Alligator mississippiensis: one gene and its partners. The protein of the gene in region 2 interacts with the protein of the main gene of each other region in a pairwise test. Links are inferred from orthologs where the notes say so. Each region holds a gene or a part of one and is shown on either strand. Other genes may lie near its edges. The genes, in order: WDR62, MAPK9 and EFHC2.

What was found.
Region 1: the proteins of MAPK9 (region 2) and WDR62 interact in binary tests that used the Homo sapiens proteins (3 or more experiments, as listed by UniProt). The two-hybrid records come from large-scale screens. The link is inferred for Alligator mississippiensis from reciprocal best matches to the Homo sapiens genes MAPK9 and WDR62.
Region 3: the proteins of MAPK9 (region 2) and EFHC2 interact in binary tests that used the Homo sapiens proteins (3 or more experiments, as listed by UniProt). The two-hybrid records come from large-scale screens. The link is inferred for Alligator mississippiensis from reciprocal best matches to the Homo sapiens genes MAPK9 and EFHC2.

Annotation. Positions count from the first base shown.
Region 1 is NC_081838.1:953,569-957,314, forward strand, and holds the start of WDR62 (WD repeat-containing protein 62), read right to left. Parts: upstream 2,458-3,746; 5' UTR 2,414-2,457; coding exon 2,303-2,413; intron 1,858-2,302; coding exon 1,766-1,857; intron 1,051-1,765; coding exon 988-1,050; intron 277-987; coding exon 219-276; intron 1-218. UniProt on the Homo sapiens protein: Required for cerebral cortical development. Plays a role in neuronal proliferation and migration.
Region 2 is NC_081832.1:73,863,351-73,867,096, reverse strand, and holds the start of MAPK9 (mitogen-activated protein kinase 9), read left to right. Parts: upstream 1-1,172; 5' UTR 1,173-1,273; intron 1,274-1,739; 5' UTR 1,740-1,880; intron 1,881-3,075; 5' UTR 3,076-3,255; exon of another isoform or gene 3,256-3,337; intron 3,338-3,746. UniProt on the Homo sapiens protein: Serine/threonine-protein kinase involved in various processes such as cell proliferation, differentiation, migration, transformation and programmed cell death.
Region 3 is NC_081824.1:302,541,907-302,545,652, reverse strand, and holds the start of EFHC2 (EF-hand domain-containing family member C2), read right to left. Parts: upstream 2,610-3,746; 5' UTR 2,450-2,609; coding exon 2,408-2,449; intron 1-2,407. UniProt on the Homo sapiens protein: Microtubule inner protein (MIP) part of the dynein-decorated doublet microtubules (DMTs) in cilia axoneme, which is required for motile cilia beating.

The DNA of each region.
Region 1 (3,746 bases), on a different chromosome or scaffold from region 2:
CATAAAGTAAGCATTACCAGGTCAAATGGCCAGAGTTCAAGTAGTGTCCAACCTGGAAAGGCTTCTTCAACCCAAAAAGGTACCAAACGGACATTGTTCCTAGTGTTACTATGGCAGCCAAGAAGTTACTCCCAGATTTCAGAGCATTTGGCCTTAGCCAAAAAAGCAGACACTTCATTACCAACAGGACTACGTTAATATACTATAGCACAACTCACTTCACCAGTGACAATGAATTTTCCATCGGGTGAGAAAGACAGAGCACTGAGTGTCTTCCTGGAAGAGAGAGAGAACATCTTCAGATTACACTGAAATGTTATTCATAACATTTACACTAGTTTAACCACCCTCACAATGCCACTTGAACCACACAGACAGTAGCTGTGGGCAGTGTTGCTGGTCGTACATTTAACCCGGCTTGGAGCCGAATGAGAGATTGGAAAGGGAGACTGGAAAGAGTCCGGCAGAGAGCAACATAAATGATGAAAGGCCTGGGAAGCAAGACTGATGAGAAAAGGTTGAAAGAGCTCGGGTTACTGAGTCTGGAGAAGAGAAGACCGAAGTGGGATTTGATAACAGTCTTCACATCTCTGCAGGGCGACGACAGGGGATGGGGATGGGCTTTTCTCTGTGGCTGGAGAAAGGACTAGGAGCAACAGCCCCCAGCTGCAGCAGGTGGAACCGAGGTTGGTAACGAGGAGGAACTTTCTGACTCGGAGGGTAGTCGAGCATTGGGAGAGGCTACCTAGAAAAACTGTGACATCCATGGAGATTTTCCAGAGCAGGGTGGAGATGCACACGGCTGGGGTGGGTTAATCAGGGCTGATCCTGCTGGGAGGAGGGGGGTGGACTAGACGTCACTCCTGAGGTCCCTTCCAAGCCAACTTTCCTATGATCCCATAGGCCTCAGCAGCCCAACCCCCCCGAAAAGCACATCTGGAGACCTATACGCTATCCACACGCCAGCAGATGAAGTATTTACAATACCTGGAAGTATTAAAGATGTGTCTTTGTTTATTCTTTTGGGGATTTAAAATCACAACCACACATCTGAAACGAAAAAAAAGCAGACAAGGCATTTGCATTACTGAACATGCAGTTTGGTTCGCAGTGGTGGCGGCTGTCGAGGAGAAGCCGCCGTCAGAGTTTGGAAGGGTCGAGGGTTTGCTGCAGAGAGAAAAAAGCCACAAGCGAAAGCAAAGATCTGGCATTTTTAGAAGGGGGGCTCGAGTCTAACGGGCCTGAGAACCCCTGATTTAGGGGCTTACAGGTACTGCAATATCAGGTCAGATCCTAGGACGGGGTGGGCAAAATGCAGCCCGCGAGGCCCCTAAAAAATTTAGAAATGTAATATTTTTCTGCCCGTGGCTGCCCGTCACGCGGCCCTCGATGGCTTGCCAAAACTCAGTAAGTGGCCCTCGGCCCAAAATAACCACCCGCCCTGTGCTAGCAGGAGATCTAACTTGTACGCCCACGAGCAGCCCTACGATGTCAGCCTCCACTGACAGAAAGGCGACCAGAGCGACCAAGCCCGCGAGGAATCGGGCGGGACAGTTCCAGCACGGGAGCTGCGCGCTGCACAACTCCAGCACAGCACGGTCCCCGATTCTGCGGGTTTCCCAGTTGCCGCGGGAAACGGCGGGTTTCCCCTTGCGGGGGGTAGCGGCCCCGCCTGCGAGGGGCTACTTGGGAGCGGATCCCGCCGGCCCGGCCCGCGGAGGGGCTACACCCCACGCCGCCTTCCCCGAGCAGCCCAGACACTCACCCGGCCGGGTAGGCGATCCGCCCGCTGTTGGGGTCGCAGGCCAAGCCGCTGCTGGTTTGCGCGGTTATGCCCAGCACTTTCTCCAGCATCACCTGCCCAGAGCAGAGAGAGGGGCAGTGAAGCCCAGCACCTGGGCCAGGCACCCCTATCTCCACTGCCTGCTCAGCCCCCATCCTCGCAAAGCCCCGCCCCTTTTCACCAGCCCCGCCCCTAGTCCAAATAGCCCCGCCCCCTACTTCGCGTAGCCCCGCCCATCCTGTGCCTCACCCAGCCCCCTTTAACCCCCTAGCCCCGCCCACCGCGCTCCCGTTATCCACGTAACTCCACCCGCCCACGCACATCCCCACCTGTCACCCAAGCCCCGCCCCTTCCTTCACTATAGTCCCGCCCACCCTGCTCCCATTGTCATCCAAACCCCGCCCACCCTGTACGTTTCCAAGCCCCACCCCTTATTCCACACTAGCCCCGTCCGCCACACCCAAGCCCCGCCCCTAACGAGTCACGGGGCGCCCCTCCCTCGAAGCCCCGCCCCCTCACCGCCTCCTCCGGCCCCTGGTGCTTGGACCTCCGCCGGAGGCTGAGGAGCGGCGGCGAGTCGGCGCCGGAGCCGGGGCCCCGTGTGTGGTAGCCGCCGTCGGCCGCCGCCATCTCCCGCTCGCCCGGCCGGACCCAACCCCCGCAACCGCTCCGAACCGCGCGCGCCCACCCCCCATTGGGCACCGCGCGCGCCACTCAGCGCCCGCTCCCAGCCAATGGCGGCGGCGCTGACATGAAGTCCCGCCCTCCCCTCGCGCTTGCCGAGCCGCTCCGTCCAGCCTCAGCCAATAGCAACGGCGTTTGCATCATACACTCGTGCCCCGCCGACGGGCGGCCTCCAGTGGCCAAGAGGCGCGTCAATCGCGGCCGCTCTCAGCCAATGGTGGCGCCCTGTGTAGGCCCGCCCCTTTTCTCGCCTCTTGCGCTAGGGTTGGCGGTTCGAGCCCCAGCCCCTCCACCTGGAGCAAACTTTTAAATAACTTTTTCTTAGGCCTGGTGTGTTTGTCGCGGCAGCCCCTGCGGGCGGGCAGCGTTTGTACCCCGGGCAGAACAGGACTGCGGGGTCACGAGGCCAAAAGGAGTACCGTATTTACTCGCATACAACACCCCCGCTCATAAAACACCTTGTTTTTAAAAGGGAAAAAGGGGGAGGGTGAAATTTTTCCCCTCAAAATGCCAGTTATCCAGTATCAGCTTCCAGCACCACCAGCAGGCAGGGCACCCCTTTTGCCCCGGGATCCAGAAATGGCTGTTACCGTATTTCCTTGCTTAGGATGCGCACCCCAATTTCCCGGAGGAGTTTTCCATCCATGACTCCTCTGTGCAATGCTCTGAAATGCGAACTCTCACTTCTGCCCAGGACAGCGTTCGCAATCTTTTCTCCGATGCCTGATGAAGGGCGTCTTGTGCCCGAAGGCTTTCAATTAAAGACGTTATTTTTTTCTTGCAAAAATCTTGCTGGTCTAATAAAAGATCTCGCCTCTACAACGAGTCCTGATTGCCTTTCCCTCTAGACCCATACAGCTACAACCCGGGTACCGCCCCCGTGTCCAGCACGGGATCTCTAACCATCGACACCACGCAACATGTGCGATGCCGTAACCACCCAAGAGACCCCCACACGCTTGCTGTGCCCCCCCGTAATGCAAGAACAGAACAGAACGAGATCTTGAAATAAATTGTCCTTATTAACTGGTAACACTCCTGCTCCATTGTCTTAGACTTAGCAAATGGAGCCCTGCCAATTGTAGCTGCTGCCCAAGCAGTTCCCGGCGTGGGTGAGATAAGTGGTCGTGCGCCCTAGGGCTAGCAGAGGGAGCGCAGTGCAATAGTCAGAACAGGAGGGGAAGGGGCTCATGGGATGTGGAAATCTAAAATAAATAAATAAATAAAGATTTTCAGGGGTTTTCCTTTTGGGAGGCCAACACTTGGGAGGAGACGCAGA
Region 2 (3,746 bases):
CTTCCTGGACCTTAAATGTTGGAGAGCGGCAAGAGGGAGAGGGGGAAAAACACCTTGGCAAGACCCAGTTTGCTCTCCCGTCCAGCGTTCGCTCCTTGCCATGGCATGCCGGGAGCCGCGGGGTGAGGGGGACCGGCGGTCTGATCCGCTTAATGGCAGTTCTTTTGTTTTTTCTCTTGTGAATTACAGAAAATATACAGTATCTATTATTAACTCCATTTTTTTTAAATGAGGGACAGGCGGGCGGACCAGGCAATGCCATTTTTTTCTTCCTGGTGGATGCATTGTGGTAAAGAAGAGAGGTTGAGGTCACCACCTCGGGCAGCGTCATTTGTAGCAGTCTCTTGGTTTTCAGAGACCGCATCTTGCGGTGCAGCGGCAGGCGGCTTCTTCACTGCCGCCCCCGTGTCACGGGGCCGCGTCCTCCTCCCGCCTCGCCTGGCAGCGCTTCCTGGGTGGAGCAGGGTGACGGCACCCGGGGGTTTTGGTGACAGCTGCTGACACTGCCTCGCCTCACCCTGGCAGTTGGATGGGGGGGGTGACATCACCTCAGCTGACAACGGTGATTTGCCGTGTAAATAGCCCATCATTTGGCAGTGCACTTAGGTGTGTGGTGACATCACCAAGCTGGGGGCAGTTTGACGTGGGTGATGACATCAAGCTGGGGGCAGTTTGACATGGGTGATGACATTAAGCTAGGGGCAGTTTGACATGGGATGACATCACTAAGCTGGGGGCAGTTTGAAGTGGAATAACATCACCAAGCTGGGGGCAGTTTGATGTGAGTGATGACATCACCGAGATGTGGCAGTTTGATATGGGCGATGACATCAAGCTGGGGGCAGTTTGACATGGGATGACATCACTAAACTGGGGGTAGGTTGATGTGGGATAACATCACCAAGCTGGGGAGAGTTTGATGTGGAATGACATCACCGAGCTGGGGGCAGTCTGACGTGAGATGACATCACCAAGATGGGGCGAGCGTGACGTGCGCTGCTCGGGCCCAGCCCGGCCCGGAGCCGCCCTGTCTCCACTGCAGTCCCCTCCCTTATATAGTGTCTTGAGGAGGTCCCGCCTCCAGCCGGATTGGCTGAGCGCGCCCGGCGCCGCGCGACGATTGGACGGCGCGCGCGCCCGTCAGCCGGTCTGGCCTGGCGCGGCCTGCGAGGGGCAGGGGAGCCATTGTGGCTGGGGCGGCCCTGCGAGCCGGAGGCGCCGAGCGGGCACCCGAGCGCCGCCCGCCCGCCCGGCCTGGCCAGGCCGCCGCACGGTGAGGCGCGGAGCGGGGAGGCCGCGGGGGGGCGGGGCCTGGCGCGAAGTTTCCCTCAGCCGCGGGGGTCGCCGCTGCCGCCCCTCCCCGGCCGCGGCCTGCAGCCCCCCGCGGGGCAATTCGCTCTGCGGCCCAAGGGGTTTGGGAGCCGCCCTCGCCGCTCCAGGCTGGCTGGGGCCTCGGGGCTCCTGGGGTGGACGCTGGCGCCCGTGCCTGGGGCTGGCGGAGGATGCTGCGGGCAGGCTGGTTTCCCTGCCTGGGCGACGGGGACCCGGGAGCCTGTCCTTCCCGGCCCGCGCCGCGGAGGAGACGGGCGCTCGGCTCGCCTGAGGGGCGACAGCCAGGTCCCCCCGCACCCGCCAGGCTGCAGGTGTAGGGAAGGGGGACCGGAGACGGCACGGCTCGTCTCGGGGACCTCGTCTGTTCCTTGATAAACTTAAAAGGTTTTGCTCCTTTTCCCTCTTAGCTGGACCCTCCACCTGGGACGTCGCCGTCACGTCCTTCCCCTGTGTCCCGAGCGGCGCGGGCAGCGCTTCTCAAACCGCAGTAGCCCACTTGTCTCCCATGTAAGCTGATGTGACGTGAAGATCTACAGGGATCCCATCTGGTTAGTCAGCAAGCGCCGCTTCAACCCTGCTGTTACGGGTCACGCGTGTACGCCGTCACGTGCTCGCGGCGTTTCGTTGTCCGTCTTTGCCGTGCGGTCCGTAAAAGTCCTCCGGTGATTGTCACCGGCGCTTGTCAAAACAAAAAGAAATGCAAAACTCTGCCACTCGCGGTTCAGAGATGATACCTTTCATTCGACCGACTAAGCAATCGCCCTCCCCCCCCCATAAGTCTTTTTCTGCAAGCTTTCGGGCGCGCACCCCGCTTCCTCCGGCTCGGGGAAAATTCAAGCTGGTAAAAAGTCCCCATGGGTAGGAAAGCAACTTCATTTTGCACGGAGGAAGCTGAAGGTGGGAGTGCGCTCCTCGGGGTGTCTTTGTGAGTTGCTCTTCGATGTGCAGATCAGGCAGGGATCCTTCCCTTGGGGTGTCACGTGGCAGAAAGGCAGGGAGGTGTAGAAATCTTTCTTATGTTCAGCAATGAAGCTTTACCTCCAAAATTAGCTAAAATTCGGCATCTTCCATGTAACACATCTCTGTCAAACAAAATGGCTTTCAAATGGGATCATCCGATCTTGTGCCTGTTTTTAATTTAGTAGTACAAGGCTGCCGGGTCAAAATAATGATCCTGCAGCTTTTTCAATTGATGAAGATGTGTTGCATTCTCATTGTAAAGGGGTTGTCGCTGCTGTCCATCCTTCGGAGGACGGATGCCTGTTTCCTGTTTGTGTGTTGGTCCTTTTTAGATGAAGTAATATCACGATACCAGGTGCTGAAAACCTTTTTCTGAAATTGAAGGTTTATTTCTAAATTCCAGAGGACTCCTTTATATCGACTGATGTGAAACATGATGTTCATACTGGCGTACGTGGCGTACGTGATACTGTAGTCAGGTTGTTGACTGATATTCCTTGGCTTTCATGGACCATAGTCGGAACAGAGGCCAGTTTCCCAAAGTCGGGCATTCAAAGGGGGATAGGTCCACAAGGGACTCGGGCATGTAAGTCGATATGCAGGCACCATCAGCATTTGCAAAAAAATTTTTTAACCATGCAAGTGGCTAAAGTGTCTAGCACAAGCGTAGTAGACAAGCACAAAAGTGCCTGTGTCTTGCTGTTGCCAAGCAGCTTGGTACCCCTGCGCAAAGAGAAACTAGGTGATTTCCCCACTGATTTTTTTTTTTTTGTTTTCCTGCAGGGCCTGAACCATTAGACAAGCTCAGAGCTTACCTGTCTTGCCCAGAAGTGTGCTTCTTCTTGTTCAATTGTCCAGTTACGTCCAGTATTCCTATGAGAGCCAGACACCTTGTTTGAATCCTTGTGCCCAGCGTGAAGCTGGATCTAGACCTCTGCTTTTGCACAGGAGGAGGCTCTAACTGTAAATATTTGAGGATTCTCTTTTCACAGCTGTTCTGCTTTGCGTAATGAATTAAACATTTATTTGGCCAAGGAGAGAAAAAGTGAGTACAGCTTCATAGCGCAGTGGTAAGGAGCAGTCATGAGACATGTGGGAGAGTTGGGCTCTGTGAGGGACTTCATATTCGTGCATATATAGTTGAGTAACTTCATTAGGAGATACTGAAAGAGTCTCACTCCAGAATATCAGATAACCTCGTGGTTAGGGTTAGGGTCCTCTAATTTGAGAGAACTGGCGTCCCGTTCCTGCACTGTATTGGCAGAACAGAATTTGAAAACAGCTCACATCTCTCAGGTGATTGTCCTATTTGGGAATGGGAGGTCTCTTGTATTTTTTGTAAGAAAGGGCTGACTTGGTACAAGCAGCTAACTCAGTGAGACAGTTCACAACCGAGACTCTTGCATGGAGATAGGTGCTTAACTGCTCTTGGCTTAGGTTCTGCCTGGTCCTAG
Region 3 (3,746 bases), on a different chromosome or scaffold from region 2:
TTTAAAAAAGTACAGAACCCAAACTATAATAAGACGCAAAGCCCTAAGCACCAGAAAATCATTTTGCAGGCCCCAACAAGCACAGTCACGATTGCCATTAGGCTAGAGTCACTGCCAATAATTGTCACAAAAGTTCAACTAGATCCACTGAGAGAAATCCCAATTAAACAAATTTCCTGATTACGCATGTATAGATTAGGGAAAATAGACTTTTCAGCTTCTCCTTCTGCCATTCCTATTGACCTTCACATTGGCTTAGCAAGTGAAATAACAGTACCACCAGCAAAAGTGATGGTAGCAGTACTAAATGACAATACACAGAGCAACAAGAAGAGGAATAGCATAAAAAGCAGCAGTAATAATAAACCAGGGGGTGACAAGAGCAGCAAAGACCAGACCAGTCATTCCTGTCCTGGAAGTACTATTGCTGTTGCTGGTTTTATCCACAGCCTGGTGGTAGGGTTTGTAGTAGCAGTAAATGTCATTTGTTTCCATCCTACGGTATGAAAGCAATGCCCTCCAGACATCTAAAACATCTGCTGCTTCTGCTGCTGCTCTGCATCTACCATTCTCATGGTGAAGATGGAGAAAGTTATGGCAGCTGTGGTAGGCATAGTCCAAATAGTTCTAGCATCTGTTTGTTTGAATATGGCCTCTTTGGACTTTAATTTGTGAAACTATATGGATAAAAATTAAGCCCAACAGCCAACAGCAGAAGCAGGAGGTAGAACTGCCTCTCTACAACTACCGAGCATTCAAACTGTAGGAAGCATAACAATAGGGGATGAACTAAAGCTCTGAATAATAGCCTAATCTGGTTTCACTGTTATAACTGGGACTTGGTTTTTGTATCGTTAGTTGTCAGAACTATATATGCATTGTGTGTGTGCATATATACATTCACAACACAGACTGCAGAAAGAGGCCTACTTATATATGTGCATTTGAACACATCCACCATTTGTATGCATCCCCTATCTAGACCTCTAGTGTGTAAAGCTAAGTACCATGTCAGATTTGTGACTATGTAAACTTCACAGCTGTCAAAAATTCTATTCAGAATTTAAGGGGCAACTCTATGCATCCTGCTCAAAAACCAAAAACAGGATATTATCTATCAGAAACTAGGTTAAGCTGTGCTTCTTCCATGCATGGCCCATCACTAAGGTACCTGAGGAACCACATACACACCAGCCAGTTCTTTACAAAATATTCTAAACTAGATGTCACAAGACAAGAGAAACAACTCTGATTTTACAATTTGCTGTAAAAATACTGTCTTATAGATTTACAAATTGTCAAAAGTACTTATGGCACTACACCTACACTACAAACTTGTGGATTATTATCCCTAACTTGTTTAACTCTGAAACATTCTCTGTTTACAGTGTATTTGTCTTCCTTTTCTTCTTTGTTATATAAATAACAAGAGTTGAAGCTGCTAAGTTCCTCAATTCTTCCCTGTGTGCCAAGCATTTCCTTTTCCAACTTAAAAACAAAAGCAATTTTTGAGTGCTTATAGAACAATATATAACAGACACAAGGCACGGCAGAGTGACACCTTATAGGCTACCTAATTATAGACTAAAATAGACTGAAATAGTTAAGTCTATAATGTGCCACTCTGCCTTGCCATCCCACTGACTTCAGACTGAAATAGCTAACTGTGCGTATATATGTGTATGTATATATATGCGTGCGTGTGCACACACACCCGCATACACTAATACTTTGTTCTTGCTCCTATTTCACCTCCTGAATAATACAATAAAGATGGCAAACTCCAGAATTTAAGCTAAGTCTGCTTTCGATATCTGCTGTTAGTCCAGTCCATGCATGACAGGAATTTTGCCACAGATTTCAACGAAGACAACCGCACCCCCGTCAATGAACAGAATGTTTGGCGCCTCGGATCTCATCTGCACCTACTTCCCTGACCGTCCAAAGAAGCGATCTGCTGCAAGCCTAACACAGGCAGGCATTCGGTCTCTCACATTCACCCTGCTGCAAGCAAACCTGCATAATAGCATCGCAGCATCCGTGACCACAAAACACAGCAGGGAATGAACTTACACCTTCAGTCAGTCCTCGGGGCACCAACCCAGCAATGGCAGCACCCCCACGGGGACTTTCCTTGACTTTCGGGGCTAGGTAACCTCCTGCTTCCCTAGGGCTCGGCGATCCCCTCCGAGCAGGGGCCAACCTGGTGCTGAAAGCCGCCATGCCCCTTGACCCCCCTGCCCCAGAGGTCACACGCGCACCCTGCCTGTGCCTGACAAGGTCCCAGAAGCCAGGCCTTGCAAGCAGCAGGTCGCCGCAGCTTCCAGTGACCATGCACGGGAGCAATACGGCCGGGGACTGGGGGTGAAGGGGGCGGGGGAGAGCCGCCGGCCCGGCTGTCACTCACGTTCCTGTTGAAGGAGTTCCCGGGCAGAAGCGGCAGCGCCATGCTCGCCCCAGCCCTGGCCCCGAGGGGCCCGCTGCTGCCGCCCGAGCACCCCCACACCTGGCCCGGCGCGAGCTGTTTGGCATCCCGTTGCCTAGAGACCGGGGTGTGACGTCACAAAGGGAAGACTCCGCGCCGCATCCCGTTGCCTAGAGCCCCGTTGTGACGTCACAGAGGGAGCCTGCGCGTCTGAGGGCGCCCCTGCTCTCTGCTGCCCCCTGTAGCTTCGCGGCCCCAGGCCTTGGTACCGCAGGCTCAGCTGCCGCTGACCGCTCTACTGACTCCGACCGGGGCAAATCTTGTGCTATTGGGCGCTGTTCCGACGGCTCCAGGTCCTGCAGGGGGAGAAGAGCAAGGGAACAGCTGGGCTTGGGGAAGGGAGGGGGGTTGGAGGGAAGAGCCCCAGTCCTGGCCTTCCTGTAAAGGGTGAGTACATGGAGAGGTGGACTCCACTCCGGGGTGTCTAACAGCAGGGAGGCAAGTCAGTGAACCTCACCATGTCCACACGCGTGTGCACACTGTAGTGATAAGGGTTAGACCATTATTCACTGCGGAACCTAAACCATTACACACACAACACGCCTGCGCATGCTGCTTGCATTGAGGCAGTTTTGTGATTGGAGGGGGAAGGGATGTCACACATAAGCGTGCGTGTGCGCACACGGACATGATCAGGTGCTTGTACATGTGTGTGTGTATACGTGATCATGTGTGTATGTGCATCGTGTGTAGGCATGCCATGTGTGAGTGTGTGTGCATGTCATGCAGTGTACATGCATCACATGTGTACACATGATGACTGGGGATCCTGGTTTTCTCTGATTAAAAAAAATCCCCAATTTTTGGGTTAGAAAAAGCGACATTTTGCTGTGATCAAACTGAAACACCGCTATATATATATGTCTATGGATTAGTGTTTTGGTTTGATCACAGGAAGATGTGGATTTTGGGTTACTTCTTTAACCCAAAAATTGGGGATTTTTTTTAAATCAGAGAAAACCAGGATCCCTGATGATCACATGTGGATGTGCATCGTGTGTGTGTGAACACACATGTGCACACATGCATGTGCTTCTGAAAAACTCACCATCCAGTTTTCATAAAACCCAGCTGTGAAAGACTCATGAATTCCTCCCTGGATCTTCACAGTTCATGCTCCAGTTTTCCACACACCGCCTCTTCCATGACCTCATGCTTCATGGGGTGCTTGATGTCTCCTCTCCAGCCCCTCCCCACGCATGCTTAGCCCTGTTGTTCAAAATGGTTTACATCAAAAGTCAGACATGCAACTGACAGGACT